Arabidopsis thaliana: one gene and its partners. The protein of the gene in region 1 binds, or shares a complex with, the protein of each later gene. Each region holds a gene or a part of one and is shown in the gene's direction. Other genes may lie near its edges. The genes, in order: MPPBETA, AT5G13430 and AT5G25450.

Region 1 (3,750 bases):
GTGCATTTGAAAGATGAACTGTTTATCTCCCGCAGACCATGTCGTTATACGAACTACAACACTGTCTACTTTCATGTTAGTATCATGATTCATGAGAGTTTTGGATGGACTACTTCAAAGTCCAATGTACGTTGGGACTGGCTACATCTTCCGCCGAGAGCAACAGAGAGCATCATTGCTAGTTTGGAATAAGAAAGGTCGAGGCTATCTCTAAGGAAACCAAAAGCTAGCTATGATATTGAAGAAAGATGACATCTCTTTGCCTATGAATGGAGAGAATACAACAAAGAATATAATGTGATGAAGATATCTAATCTTTGCTTCTCTTCTCTCAAAGAAATTTCGGTTAAAAGTGAAGCATAAAAGTGAGATTAGTGGCACTAAAGAAGGATGAAATTAGCAATTTAGGGATGAAGAAACCATATCCTATTATCCTTAAATCGGACGAACACAAAAATACGGTTGAAGACATAAGTTTCAATGTCCAAAGCCATCGCCAAAAAGATAAATTTTTGAACATTATGAGCGCAAGTCTTGAGAATGAAATGGTAACAATTCTTAAAAGTAAAGATAAACACTAAAAGCACAATGGCCTCAAAAGTAGAAGAAGAACAAAAAAGAACATTAAGATCTTCAAGGTTCAACTGCAATACGGCCAGCAACCTGGTCCAAATCCCTTTGGCCACTGGAAGTGATCCTTCTTCCTCTGAAAGAAGAACAAAAGTGATACTAGTATTAGCATAAAAACATTTTTAAAGAGAAACACCTCTAACGTAGTAGTAGTAGTAGTAGTAGTAGTAGTAATGTTACCCTTTGGTGTCGAGCTCAACAATGTTCATTGTCTCCAGCTGTTGGAGGATGTGACGGGCAATACCACCACTGCTTTTGCAAAAGTGAGGTGGGCGACTACCGTTCCTCTTGCTTCCACCATAGATTCTACGGAAAGCACCAACACCAAGTCCTCCCCTCAGGTAAACCTTCCTTGCCATAGATGCTGCACAAGAAGTCATTTTGCTAATTGAAAACTTTATAAACGCATAGAGATAATAAGAGACAAACTAGGATGAAAGAGAACTAACCAGCTCTGATGTAGTACCAATCAGGATCATATGGTGCAAGCTCCTTCAACTTTCCGGTCTTCACAATGTCTGTCCATGTGGGAAGCTCGATCTGAAACAAACAATTATGGTCTCGTGAAAACCAAAACAATTGTAAAAAGTGGAGCTTGACATTCAAGCTATTGTAATTGCTAGTGTAAATTAATTCAACAGACGTAACAAAGCAAATCACAATATTAATCCCAAGCATTTGAATCTTAAGCTGTCTATTAACAAATACTAAGAGTAACACTTGTGATTCAATAAATATTAGCAACATATACAAAATTTCAATACATTCAACAGACATTACACAATTCAAAGTATTATAGAGAAATGCCAACAATCAACAGAAATATCTATGAACTAATGGAAATCATTGCAATTTGAGCTTAATCCATCTTTATTCGAGTACATACAAATAAAGCTTGGAACATTTCTACTCAAACAAAAAAGAAGAGACTTTATCCACTAACCTTGCCAGATCGCTTGAGATGAGAAGCATAAGCCTTGACGAAGTCATGAGGCGAGACGTCTTTCACAGTTTTACCAGTTGCCATGGCTCAAGTTATCAAAAGACTAATCACTGATCTTCGTCTGGGATTTTGCCCAACGCAGCTGAATCTCTCTCCGCAAAGACTAGGGTTTTTATTCTCCAATAACAAAACTTATATATACGGCCACGATATTTCGATTAGGGTTTTCTCCCCATATCCGGGTCAAAAAATCCAACCCGTTCTCAGCCCACACTAATGGGCCTAATTCTTCATACGGCCTTACTATCTAACCAGTATGAATAATGTTCTTTGATACGATAATGCGCCTACTACGGCCTTATTATATCAGTTGACTAGTATTATGTCCTAAACGACACCGTTCTTAATTAGTAACATTAAATGACGTCGTTTTATAATCGCTTAACCACTGGCTATTAGTTCGCATCTCAAGTCGTCTCTGCCATTTTTGGCTTTTTAATCAAACCCTAGAGAGATTGAGAGAGCGAAGAGAAGCCATCATCAGCCATGGCGATGAAGAATCTACTGTCCCTAGCTCGCCGATCTCAGAGGCGTTTATTCCTCACTCAAGCCACACGATCTTCCTCTTCGTTTTCAGCTATCGATTCGGTGCCGGCTTCCGCATCTCCGACGGCTCTATCTCCACCGCCGCCGCATCTTATGCCATACGACCACGCGGCTGAGATTATAAAAAATAAGATCAAGAAGCTCGAGAATCCTGATAAGAGGTTCCTTAAATACGCATCTCCACATCCGATCCTCGCTTCCCACAATCACATCTTGTCAGCTCCGGAGACTCGTGTCACTACCTTGCCCAATGGTCTACGAGTCGCTACTGAGTCAAATCTCTCGGCTAAGACCGCCACCGTTGGAGTCTGGATCGACGCTGGATCTCGGTTTGAGTCCGATGAGACCAACGGAACGGCTCATTTTTTGGAGCATATGATATTCAAAGGCACGGATAGGCGTACAGTGAGAGCGTTGGAGGAAGAGATCGAAGATATTGGTGGTCACCTGAACGCGTATACATCGAGGGAACAGACCACTTATTATGCTAAGGTTTTGGATTCCAATGTGAACCAGGCTTTGGATGTCTTGGCTGATATCCTACAGAATTCTAAGTTCGAGGAACAGAGAATTAACCGCGAACGAGATGTCATCCTCAGGGAAATGCAAGAGGTATGTATTTGTTATCTCTGTACTTAAAAAACTAAACTTTTTGTTCTGTCCTCGATTTATCTTTCGTTTTTTTTTAGTGAGGTGGTACTATGGACCGTAGTTTGTGTTTTTTTAGATCAATACCCTTAGTTTCAGTTTCCCGTGTGCCTGCCTAAAAATGAAAACTTTAGTATGTTCTTAAGTTATCTTCCCTTTTTTTAAGGTTGTATTGGCATAAGCACATGTTCTATAGAGAGATGTTATTGTGTTTATATAAACCATTGCTCTAAAAATGAAAACTTTGTTCTGTTTTTGGATTATCTCTCGCATGTTTTGGTTTTATTGGCTTAGTCATATGTTGGTCGTATTGTTGTTGGGAAATGTGCATGAAGGGAGATACTAGAGCGCTTGGTACTCTGCTCTACGTGTTGGTTAGAGTTATTTGTTTCTTTAATCAGTTAAAGATAGAATACACATTAAGCTTTAGTTTTTTGATAATTGGTTTGGTCGTAGGTGGAGGGACAAACCGATGAAGTGGTTCTTGACCATTTACATGCCACTGCATTCCAATACACACCCCTTGGAAGAACTATTTTGGGACCTGCTCAGAACGTCAAATCGATCACCAGAGAGGATCTACAGAACTACATTAAGACTCACTACACTGCTTCCAGGATGGTATAGATTTTGGTTACTTCTTATCATTTCCTACAATCACTTATTGAATTTTTTAGGATTCTTATCTTGGTTCATCCAAAACATTTTCAGGTGATTGCTGCTGCAGGAGCTGTTAAGCATGAGGAAGTTGTTGAGCAAGTGAAGAAGCTATTTACCAAGTTGTCGTCTGATCCAACAACTACTTCTCAACTGGTTGCCAATGAACCTGCTAGTTTTACTGGTTCTGAGGTAAGGACACAACCATATGATTTTGTTATATGCAATGTTCCATCTTTCTAAATTCTTTAGTCCGTGAAATTCTT
Region 2 (3,750 bases), on another chromosome or scaffold:
CTCATTCTTCTCCTTGCTGGAATAGTGATTGATCGGATATGAATTGACCAGCTTTGAGATAATCCTTTTTTGATGAGATAATCGATTTTGACATGTAGTTTATTCATTATTATGGAAATGGATGTTTTATCGTCTTTGGGCACATCATATAAGATACTTGCATCAGTAAACGAATCTGGAATTCCATATCTTTAACCAAAAGGGCTATGTTTGCAATCTTATCTTAGGAGTTTTCTTATGTTTTAAGCATTTATGATCATTGAAGTTCCTTCCTTGGATCTTGCGTTAGATAGATTAGTTTAGTTTTCACTGAATTTGATATCATGGTAGAAAATTGTTTGGATGACACCTTCTGTTATCTCTTGGAATCCGTTTTTATAATCTTATGTTATTCTATGCATTAATGTTAAATGTTTGCTAGTGTTATTCCTTTCTTCTGTGTTATCTCTTGAAAATATTTTTGCTTAATACTTGGTGTTGTTGAACACTTGACCAAGTATAAAGTTTGCCCTTGATGTGAAATATTAATGTTTCATGCTATTTTCAGGTTTTGCTTCTCAAGTCATTACTCAGGGAAATGAGATAGGTTTTGGTTCGGAAGTCCCAGCCACAGTCGAAGCTGTCAAAACACCTAACTCAAAGATTGTCTATGACGACCATAACCATGAGCGTTACCCACCTGGTGACCCTAGCAAGCGGGCATTCGCCTATTTTGTCTTGTCGGGTGGAAGGTTTGTTTATGCCTCTGTTCTCCGCCTGCTTGTTCTGAAGCTTATTGTGAGCATGTCTGCAAGTAAAGATGTCCTTGCCCTTGCATCCCTCGAGGTTGACCTAGGGAGCATAGAACCAGGAACTACCGTGACAGTCAAGTGGCGTGGAAAGCCCGTCTTCATCAGGCGAAGAACAGAAGATGACATCAAGCTGGCCAATAGTGTGGATGTTGGATCCCTGAGGGACCCACAAGAAGACTCGGTTAGAGTCAAGAATCCAGAATGGTTGATCGTGGTTGGAGTATGCACTCATTTGGGGTGCATCCCCTTGCCTAATGCTGGTGATTATGGTGGTTGGTTTTGTCCGTGTCACGGATCACATTACGATATATCTGGAAGAATTAGGAAAGGTCCTGCACCATACAACCTGGAAGTACCGACCTACAGCTTCTTGGAAGAGAATAAATTACTCATTGGTTAATGAATAAAGCACAACAGTCCGAGTGTCATGGTCTGGATGATCTTAAATCTGTTTTTGTTTTTATATTTTCCGGCATTTTAGCGTGCAAGTTCGCTTTCCTCACACTTTGGGCTCAGCAAAAATTGGCTTGTTTTGCTGAATAATACAAACTTGTCATTGTATGACTTAGTATCTGTCTCATCTGGTGAAAATACATTGTTCATACTTCATAGTCTCTGTTTATTATTTGAAAAGAGTTTTGAATAGTATCATCCCTATTTTTCTTATGTTTGTAATTTTGTAACATATCGTTTGTAAGAGAGTTTCCTTTCCTTAAAGTCTGTAGCCATTATCACAATTGAGACAAAAACTTGGTAAGGTTCAAGGTGTGTTATAAAACTTTCGTGTTCTTACTGGAGACGACATTTCGAAGACCTTCAATTCTCAACTAAGCCATAAACCTTCTCTTCCATAGTGAGAAATCCAATTGTGAACCTCGAGACTACTACTTTGATGAAAGATGTCATATTCTGGTTGTGGATCTTAGCCTAATTTTCTTGTTCAGATTGTTTTCATCGATGACTACTTCTTTGATGATGTCCTTCTAGCTCTTTCTTCTAGTATTGAAAAGTTCACACAGATGTAAAACAGTCTTTTTGTTGGAAATCTTGTTTAAACATTACAACAACAAAATATATCCTTTACCAAGTATAGACCCCCTATTATTATTATTAAAAATTACGATTTTTATACAAATAAAATAATTTATCTTACAAATACACACACACAAAAAAATTATATCGTAAAACCAAAAGATTTTATTAATTAAAATTAGAAAAAAAACCATGCCATCAAAATCCTGAAGTAAAAAAATATCAAGTAATACGCAAAAACCAAAAAAAACAAAACAAATTGACCTTTTCTCAAAGACAATTTTTAAGGGACTTACTAGTAAGTAGTCTCTTATGTTTTGTTTTGCATCGGCCGTCCCAAACCTGAGGATTTCTCTGTTCAGCTAGAGCGAAACCCTAGATTCACATTTGAGCTGAGAGATGCTGCGTGTAGCAGGGAGGAGGCTTTTCTCTGTCTCGCAGAGATCTTCGACTGCGACCTCCTTCGTCGTCTCCCGTGACCATACCCTTTCCGATGGTGGCGGCGACTCCTCTTCAGCTCCCAGATCCCTCCCCTCTGCAGATCTCTCATCTTACCACCGTAGCCTTATCAGAGGTTTGCCGATTTATAACCCTTTCCCTCTCTCTCTACATTGATTTTTCATTTTCGGTGGTTCTTTGCAGTTTTATTTGATTGATTGATTTTTGAAAAGGTCTTCTTTTTTTGGTTGTATGATTCACGGGAATGATTGAGATTTCTAGTATTGTATCTGCAATGATCCGTGGGAACAAACGTGTCATCTGATTTGAATTCCATGAGCTTGATGTACCATTTGGCTACATTCTTCTCCTTGCTGGATTTGTATTGCATTTGATGATTACTTCTTTCGTGTGGATTGTTCAGTTCTGAGATAATCCTTTGTTTTACTAGGAAAGTTTCCTCTTTTCGGTGCGTTAATCATAGTATGATTCACCACTGGCTTCTTGGTTTTTGAAATTTGATCTTGTGTATCAATCCTTTTGAGTTCTTCATTGTTAGGGACATGGATGTTTTAACTGTATACTATGTTTGTAGGATTTATAGCTGTTTAAAGGCATGCTGAGGAACTTGCATTCTGAAATTTATGTTTTCTTAACCAAAGAGCTTTGTTTGTTCTTAGCATTGGAAATTTTGTTGTGTTTTAAGCGTTTCTGTAATATACAGCATCTGATCAATATATTTTTTTCTCTTGGTTTATTACGTTGGTTTTAGTATTTAAGGTTTCACTGAATTTGTTATTATTGATTTGTTTGGATGAATTTGGTATACTTGGCTTCTCTGATTCATTCTTTCGTCCAGAAGGAAATGAACATTTGAGTTTATTGATGGATTATGGATTGACCTGTTTAGATGTAATTCTTTGGTTGATGACTAAAGCTCCTTGCTTGTAAATCATTGGAATGCGTTATCCATAGTGTGATTCACATTGGCTTCTAGATTCCAATTTTTTGTTCTTCTGTTTCCATGTTGATCATTGAATTTGTTCTCTTGTTTTTTTTATGGAGATTATCGTATTTAAGTTTCCACTCCCCGAGTTTGATACGATGGTTTGAATTGTTTGGATGGATCTCATACTTCATGGAATCCGTTTTATGTACTTTTGTTTTTCCTTAGAAGATTATACATCAATGGTCACATCTTGATTGTGGTAGTCCTGTGGCTTATTCTTATTCTTGTAGAACACTTGACCAAGTATAAAGTTTGCCTTTGATGTGAAATATTAATGTTTCATGCTATTTTCAGGCTTCTCTTCTCAAGTCCTTGCTCAAGGAAATGAGATAGGTTTTGGTTCAGAAGTCCCAGCCACAGTCGAAGCTGTCAAAACGCCTAACTCAAAGATTGTCTATGATGACCATAACCATGAGCGTTACCCACCTGGTGACCCTAGCAAGCGTGCATTCGCCTATTTTGTCTTGTCGGGTGGGAGGT
Region 3 (3,750 bases), on another chromosome or scaffold:
CGATCATCTCCACAATGTTGTACTTTTTATTTTTTATTTCTCGCTTTGCTGAGATTGTGAGGTCTTTTCCTAAACCAGTTAACATTTTAAGTAGTATAACACCAAAGCTATACACATCGCCCGCCATGTTCGACATCCCTTCATTTGATTAGTGCAATCAATTAAGGTTAGTCTCTTTGAATTTAATGGTCACTTTTAACTTTAAGATATAAGGAAGAAGCAGAAGATTGTTGCCTGAGAGTATGTATTCGGGAGGTGGGTATTGATATCTAGGTGCTACATTTGAAAACCCGATGGTGTATACCAATTCATCGAGAGAAACTTTTGGCTTTCCAAAATAGGAAACTCTTGCGTTGAAGTCCTGCATATCCCATAAATGTCACTTTAAAGGTAAGGAGCAAGTATTCAAGAAAAAAAACAAAAAAGGCAAGGTGAATACAAACCGAGTCGAGCAGGATTTTCGAAGCAGTGAGATATCTGCGGTATAGACCGGCTTGCTTCCTAGAGTGCAAGAAGGCAAGACACTGAGCCGCTCCTATGGATATCTTAAGTCGTGTCTCCCACGGCAATGACTTTGGACGACTATCTATGATATTATATAAACCATTAAATCCAAAAGGAAGATGAATTACTATTGGATCTAAGGTTAAGATCGTAAACTCGTGAGAGCTCCAGAAATCAATTTGAGCAACTCTCTTTATTCCCTCTCTATGATATTAAATTATCTAGGAATCATTTAGCTTGGTGTTCTTCAATTAGTATATTTTCCTCACTTCCACTAAATAAAGCTCTAATGAGCTATCTCAATTTTTAGATCTAGTTTTAAAGCTCTTATTAAGAGCTCTTACCTTTGGGTCTTGCTCGAGCAAGATTCTTCTTGCTTTGAGTCTACTCACAAGATATAATGACGAAAAGGAGATGAATAAACTTAACTTCCTTACCTCTACTGATGTAACTTCCTAAGCTTCCATTTGGAAAGTATTCAGAAACAATAAACAACATATCACGATCATAACAGTAGCCAATTAGCTTCACCAAGCTTGGATGAGAGTTATGTCGTAGAAACTCTACGTCAACCTACAAAAATATCATCTCTAATGTTAAGACACACTGACCCATCTCTAGGGGTAGGCAACATAGACATTTACCATCCAAAAACATCAAAAAATTTAGAAGAATAAATAAGTAACAAGAAACTTAACAATATTATTGGTTTTGCCGAAGGTTCTCCTATAGATTGAGATGATATAATTACTTACAAGCCAATCTTGAAAAGCTTGTTCATTGGCTAAGTAAATTTTCTTGACCGCGACGGCCATGCCAACACCTTTCTTGGCCGGAGATAACGTTTTGGGATTGATGTATCCCAAGCTCTCTCCTAGTTCCATCTGGTTTCCGAAATCATTAGTCGCTTTCTTCAGATCTGCCACCGTGAAGACTTTCACACCCTCCTCCACTATACATATATTATAACAAAACTTATATCCATTATAGTAACATTCAAATCAAAAGTACTTAAATCCGCAGAGAAATATATATATGTATACCTGATTTGGGAGCATTTGGTTCGGTGGGAAGTGTCGAAGCTGAGAGACAATTTCCCATTCGGATACTCTCTGCTAAATCTTAACACTAGAGTTCAATGAAGAAGAGAGGACTTTTAGTTTTTCACACCGAGGAGCAAAGTCAACGAAAACGCGTTTGAGAGTCAACGGTTGACGCGTTTTATTTGGTGAGTCATACGACGCCGTTTTTTGATAAGAGTACATACTACGCCGTTTGGCTAGAGTTTCATACGACGGCGTTTAAACAGATGTCTCTGGATGCTTCTTCCTTCTTCGTTCCCGGGTTAAATTACAAATAGCGGCGAAGGGGTTTCATCACAATTCACATCTTCAACGTTACTCCGAAGAAGATAATGGCGTCGTTTCTCCAGAGACTAGTAGATCCCAGGAAGAATTTCTTAGCTCGTATGCATATGAAGTCTGTTTCTAATCGCCTCCGCAGATACGGTACTCTTTCTTTCTCTCTTACCCTAGAAACCAAACCCTAATTCTCTTCTGGCTGATTTTGGGAATTTTACGATTTTTTAGGTCTTAGATACGACGATCTTTATGATCCTTTGTATGATTTGGATATTAAAGAAGCTCTTAATCGTTTACCGAGAGAGATTGTTGATGCTCGGAACCAGCGTCTTATGCGTGCAATGGATCTTTCTATGAAACATGAATACCTCCCAGATAATCTTCAGGTATGTTTTAGTCTCTAAGTAAGTGACAACAGAGCTAAAACGGTATATAGCTATGGAGTTTGTAGATAGAGCTTGCAAGATTTGACTTAAGACTTGTATTAGGATCAAGAACACTCTGTTTTCAGAAACCTGTTTTGGTTCTGTAATATAATTGTAACTTGATAAGCTTTGTAAGATCTTGTCTATGAAAGAAGTTTTTTTTGAGATAGTGCTTGTTAGTTGTGAGATAGGAAGCTTATGTAAATCTTTTTTTCTTTTCCTTGTCTCTGTAATTCCACAGGCAGTGCAGACTCCATTCAGGAGCTACCTCCAAGACATGTTGGCTCTTGTAAGAACAAAAACAGTTTTATCTATCTTGTAGTGATAGAAGAATCATATAGCAAAGTTCTAACACACGACACTTCATGTGCAGGTGAAGCGGGAGAGAGCTGAGAGAGAGGCTTTGGGAGCTTTACCTCTCTACCAAAGAACCATTCCTTAAGCATGTTAGTCTCTCTTGTGCTTATAGTAGGGTCACTGTTTTAGTACTCTTTAGGCTTCAATACCGCACAATTTGCTTTTGTATGGTTATGCATGGATATGTGAACCTTATGTATAAGATTTTATGAGATTGAATTGGATGTGTAATGTAAGCTTGATTGAGCTATTACAGAAATATGAGTAAAATATCCCACACCGGTAGGAGGAGAGTAAATCATGCTACATAAAGACATAAAGGCACACAAACCCTTAAGCTAGCTTTTGGAAATGTTTTCACAGTTCCTCATAGGAGCTCTGAAGAGAGGCGTGTAACCTCTGAACCACAATCCTTTATAACCCTTAGTTTGTCCTCTCAAATATGGGCTATAGCATTCAAATTATCTAGCACTTGTTGCATGGATGGTCTTTCCTTGGGATCTCTTTCAAGGCAGTTTTATGAGCTTGCACATACGCATCCCCTCTTCAACACGATAGCTATTCTCTAAATCTGGATCGATCATTTCCACAATGTTTTCTTTTCTATTCTCTGTTGCTTCCTCTGCTAAGATGATGCACGGGTTTCCCAAACCAGTTAAGATCTCAAATAGTATAACACCGAAGCTGTATACATCGCCCGCCATGTGTGATCTCCCTGTATATGCGTATTACCGTGCAATCAGTTTTAGGTTAGTGTATGAATTTTAATGGTCATTCTGTAGCTTGAGAGAGGACTTACCTGAGAATATGTATTCAGGAGGTTCGTAGTAAATTCTAAGAAATGCGCTCAATACAATTTTCTAGCTTGCTTACTCCTATAAATGTAACGCTCTAAGCTTCCGTTTGGAAAGTATTCAGAAACAATGAACAACAATTATCATCCGAACCGTAACCAATGAGCTTGACCAAGCTTGGATGCAGGTTATGTCGTAGAAACTCTAGGTCAACCTACAAACCTCGGCTGCCGTGTTAAGCATACATATATGAGTGATCAGTCTCTCTCGTAGAGGTTAATTTCTTACAAATCACTTTTGCAAGGCTTC

Evidence for each region.
Region 2: the proteins of MPPBETA (region 1) and AT5G13430 are in contact, whole or in part, in a cryo-EM structure (PDB 8BEP), measured with the Arabidopsis thaliana proteins. Residues at the interface, in NP_186858.1 of Arabidopsis thaliana: Asp134, Met222, Gln223, Val225, Glu226, Val232, Asp235, His236, Ala239, Phe242, Gln243, Tyr244, Thr245, Gly248, Arg249, Thr250, Met328, Ile510; in NP_568288.1 of Arabidopsis thaliana: Ala83 (codon at 3,636), Val84 (codon at 3,639), Lys85 (codon at 3,642), Thr86 (codon at 3,645), Pro87 (codon at 3,648), Asn88 (codon at 3,651), Ser89, Lys90, Ile91, Val92.
Region 3: the proteins of MPPBETA (region 1) and AT5G25450 are in contact, whole or in part, in a cryo-EM structure (PDB 8BEP), measured with the Arabidopsis thaliana proteins. Residues at the interface, in NP_186858.1 of Arabidopsis thaliana: Ser45, Pro46, Pro47, Pro48, Pro49, Tyr54, Asp55, Ala57, Ala58, Ile61, Lys62, Ile65, Lys66, Glu69, Pro81, His82, Lys373, His374, Asp378, Gln381, Arg382, Ile385; in NP_197927.1 of Arabidopsis thaliana: Arg34 (codon at 2,099), Leu54 (codon at 2,159), Pro55 (codon at 2,162), Glu57 (codon at 2,168), Ile58 (codon at 2,171), Ala61 (codon at 2,180), Arg65 (codon at 2,192), Ala85 (codon at 2,532), Val86 (codon at 2,535), Gln87 (codon at 2,538), Thr88 (codon at 2,541), Arg91 (codon at 2,550), Ser92 (codon at 2,553), Tyr93 (codon at 2,556), Asp96 (codon at 2,565), Met97 (codon at 2,568), Leu100 (codon at 2,577), Arg103 (codon at 2,670), Arg108 (codon at 2,685), Leu111 (codon at 2,694), Gly112 (codon at 2,697), Ala113 (codon at 2,700), Leu114 (codon at 2,703), Pro115 (codon at 2,706), Leu116 (codon at 2,709).

The regions. Positions count from the first base shown.
Region 1 is NC_003074.8:363,505-367,254, forward strand, and holds the start of MPPBETA (Insulinase (Peptidase family M16) protein), read left to right. Parts: upstream 1-2,044; 5' UTR 2,045-2,119; coding exon 2,120-2,791; intron 2,792-3,283; coding exon 3,284-3,448; intron 3,449-3,538; coding exon 3,539-3,676; intron 3,677-3,750. Other genes in the region: AT3G02080 (Ribosomal protein S19e family protein), read right to left, coding at 634-706, 811-994, 1,080-1,170, 1,574-1,657. UniProt on the Arabidopsis thaliana protein: Catalytic subunit of the essential mitochondrial processing protease (MPP), which cleaves the mitochondrial sequence off newly imported precursors proteins. Preferentially, cleaves after an arginine at position P2.
Region 2 is NC_003076.8:4,305,872-4,309,621, reverse strand, and holds the start of AT5G13430 (Ubiquinol-cytochrome C reductase iron-sulfur subunit), read left to right. Parts: upstream 1-2,051; 5' UTR 2,052-2,222; coding exon 2,223-2,397; intron 2,398-3,564; coding exon 3,565-3,750. Other genes in the region: AT5G13440 (Ubiquinol-cytochrome C reductase iron-sulfur subunit), read left to right, coding at 548-1,191. UniProt on the Arabidopsis thaliana protein: Component of the ubiquinol-cytochrome c oxidoreductase, a multisubunit transmembrane complex that is part of the mitochondrial electron transport chain which drives oxidative phosphorylation.
Region 3 is NC_003076.8:8,855,118-8,858,867, forward strand, and holds AT5G25450 (Cytochrome bd ubiquinol oxidase, 14kDa subunit), read left to right. Parts: upstream 1-1,799; 5' UTR 1,800-1,918; coding exon 1,919-2,012; intron 2,013-2,093; coding exon 2,094-2,251; coding exon of another isoform or gene 2,252-2,269; exon of another isoform or gene 2,270-2,531; coding exon 2,532-2,579; intron 2,580-2,663; coding exon 2,664-2,732; 3' UTR 2,733-3,359; downstream 3,360-3,750. Other genes in the region: AT5G25440 (Protein kinase superfamily protein), read right to left, coding at 1-138, 235-361, 444-586, 942-1,077, 1,203-1,456, 1,548-1,605. UniProt on the Arabidopsis thaliana protein: Component of the ubiquinol-cytochrome c oxidoreductase, a multisubunit transmembrane complex that is part of the mitochondrial electron transport chain which drives oxidative phosphorylation.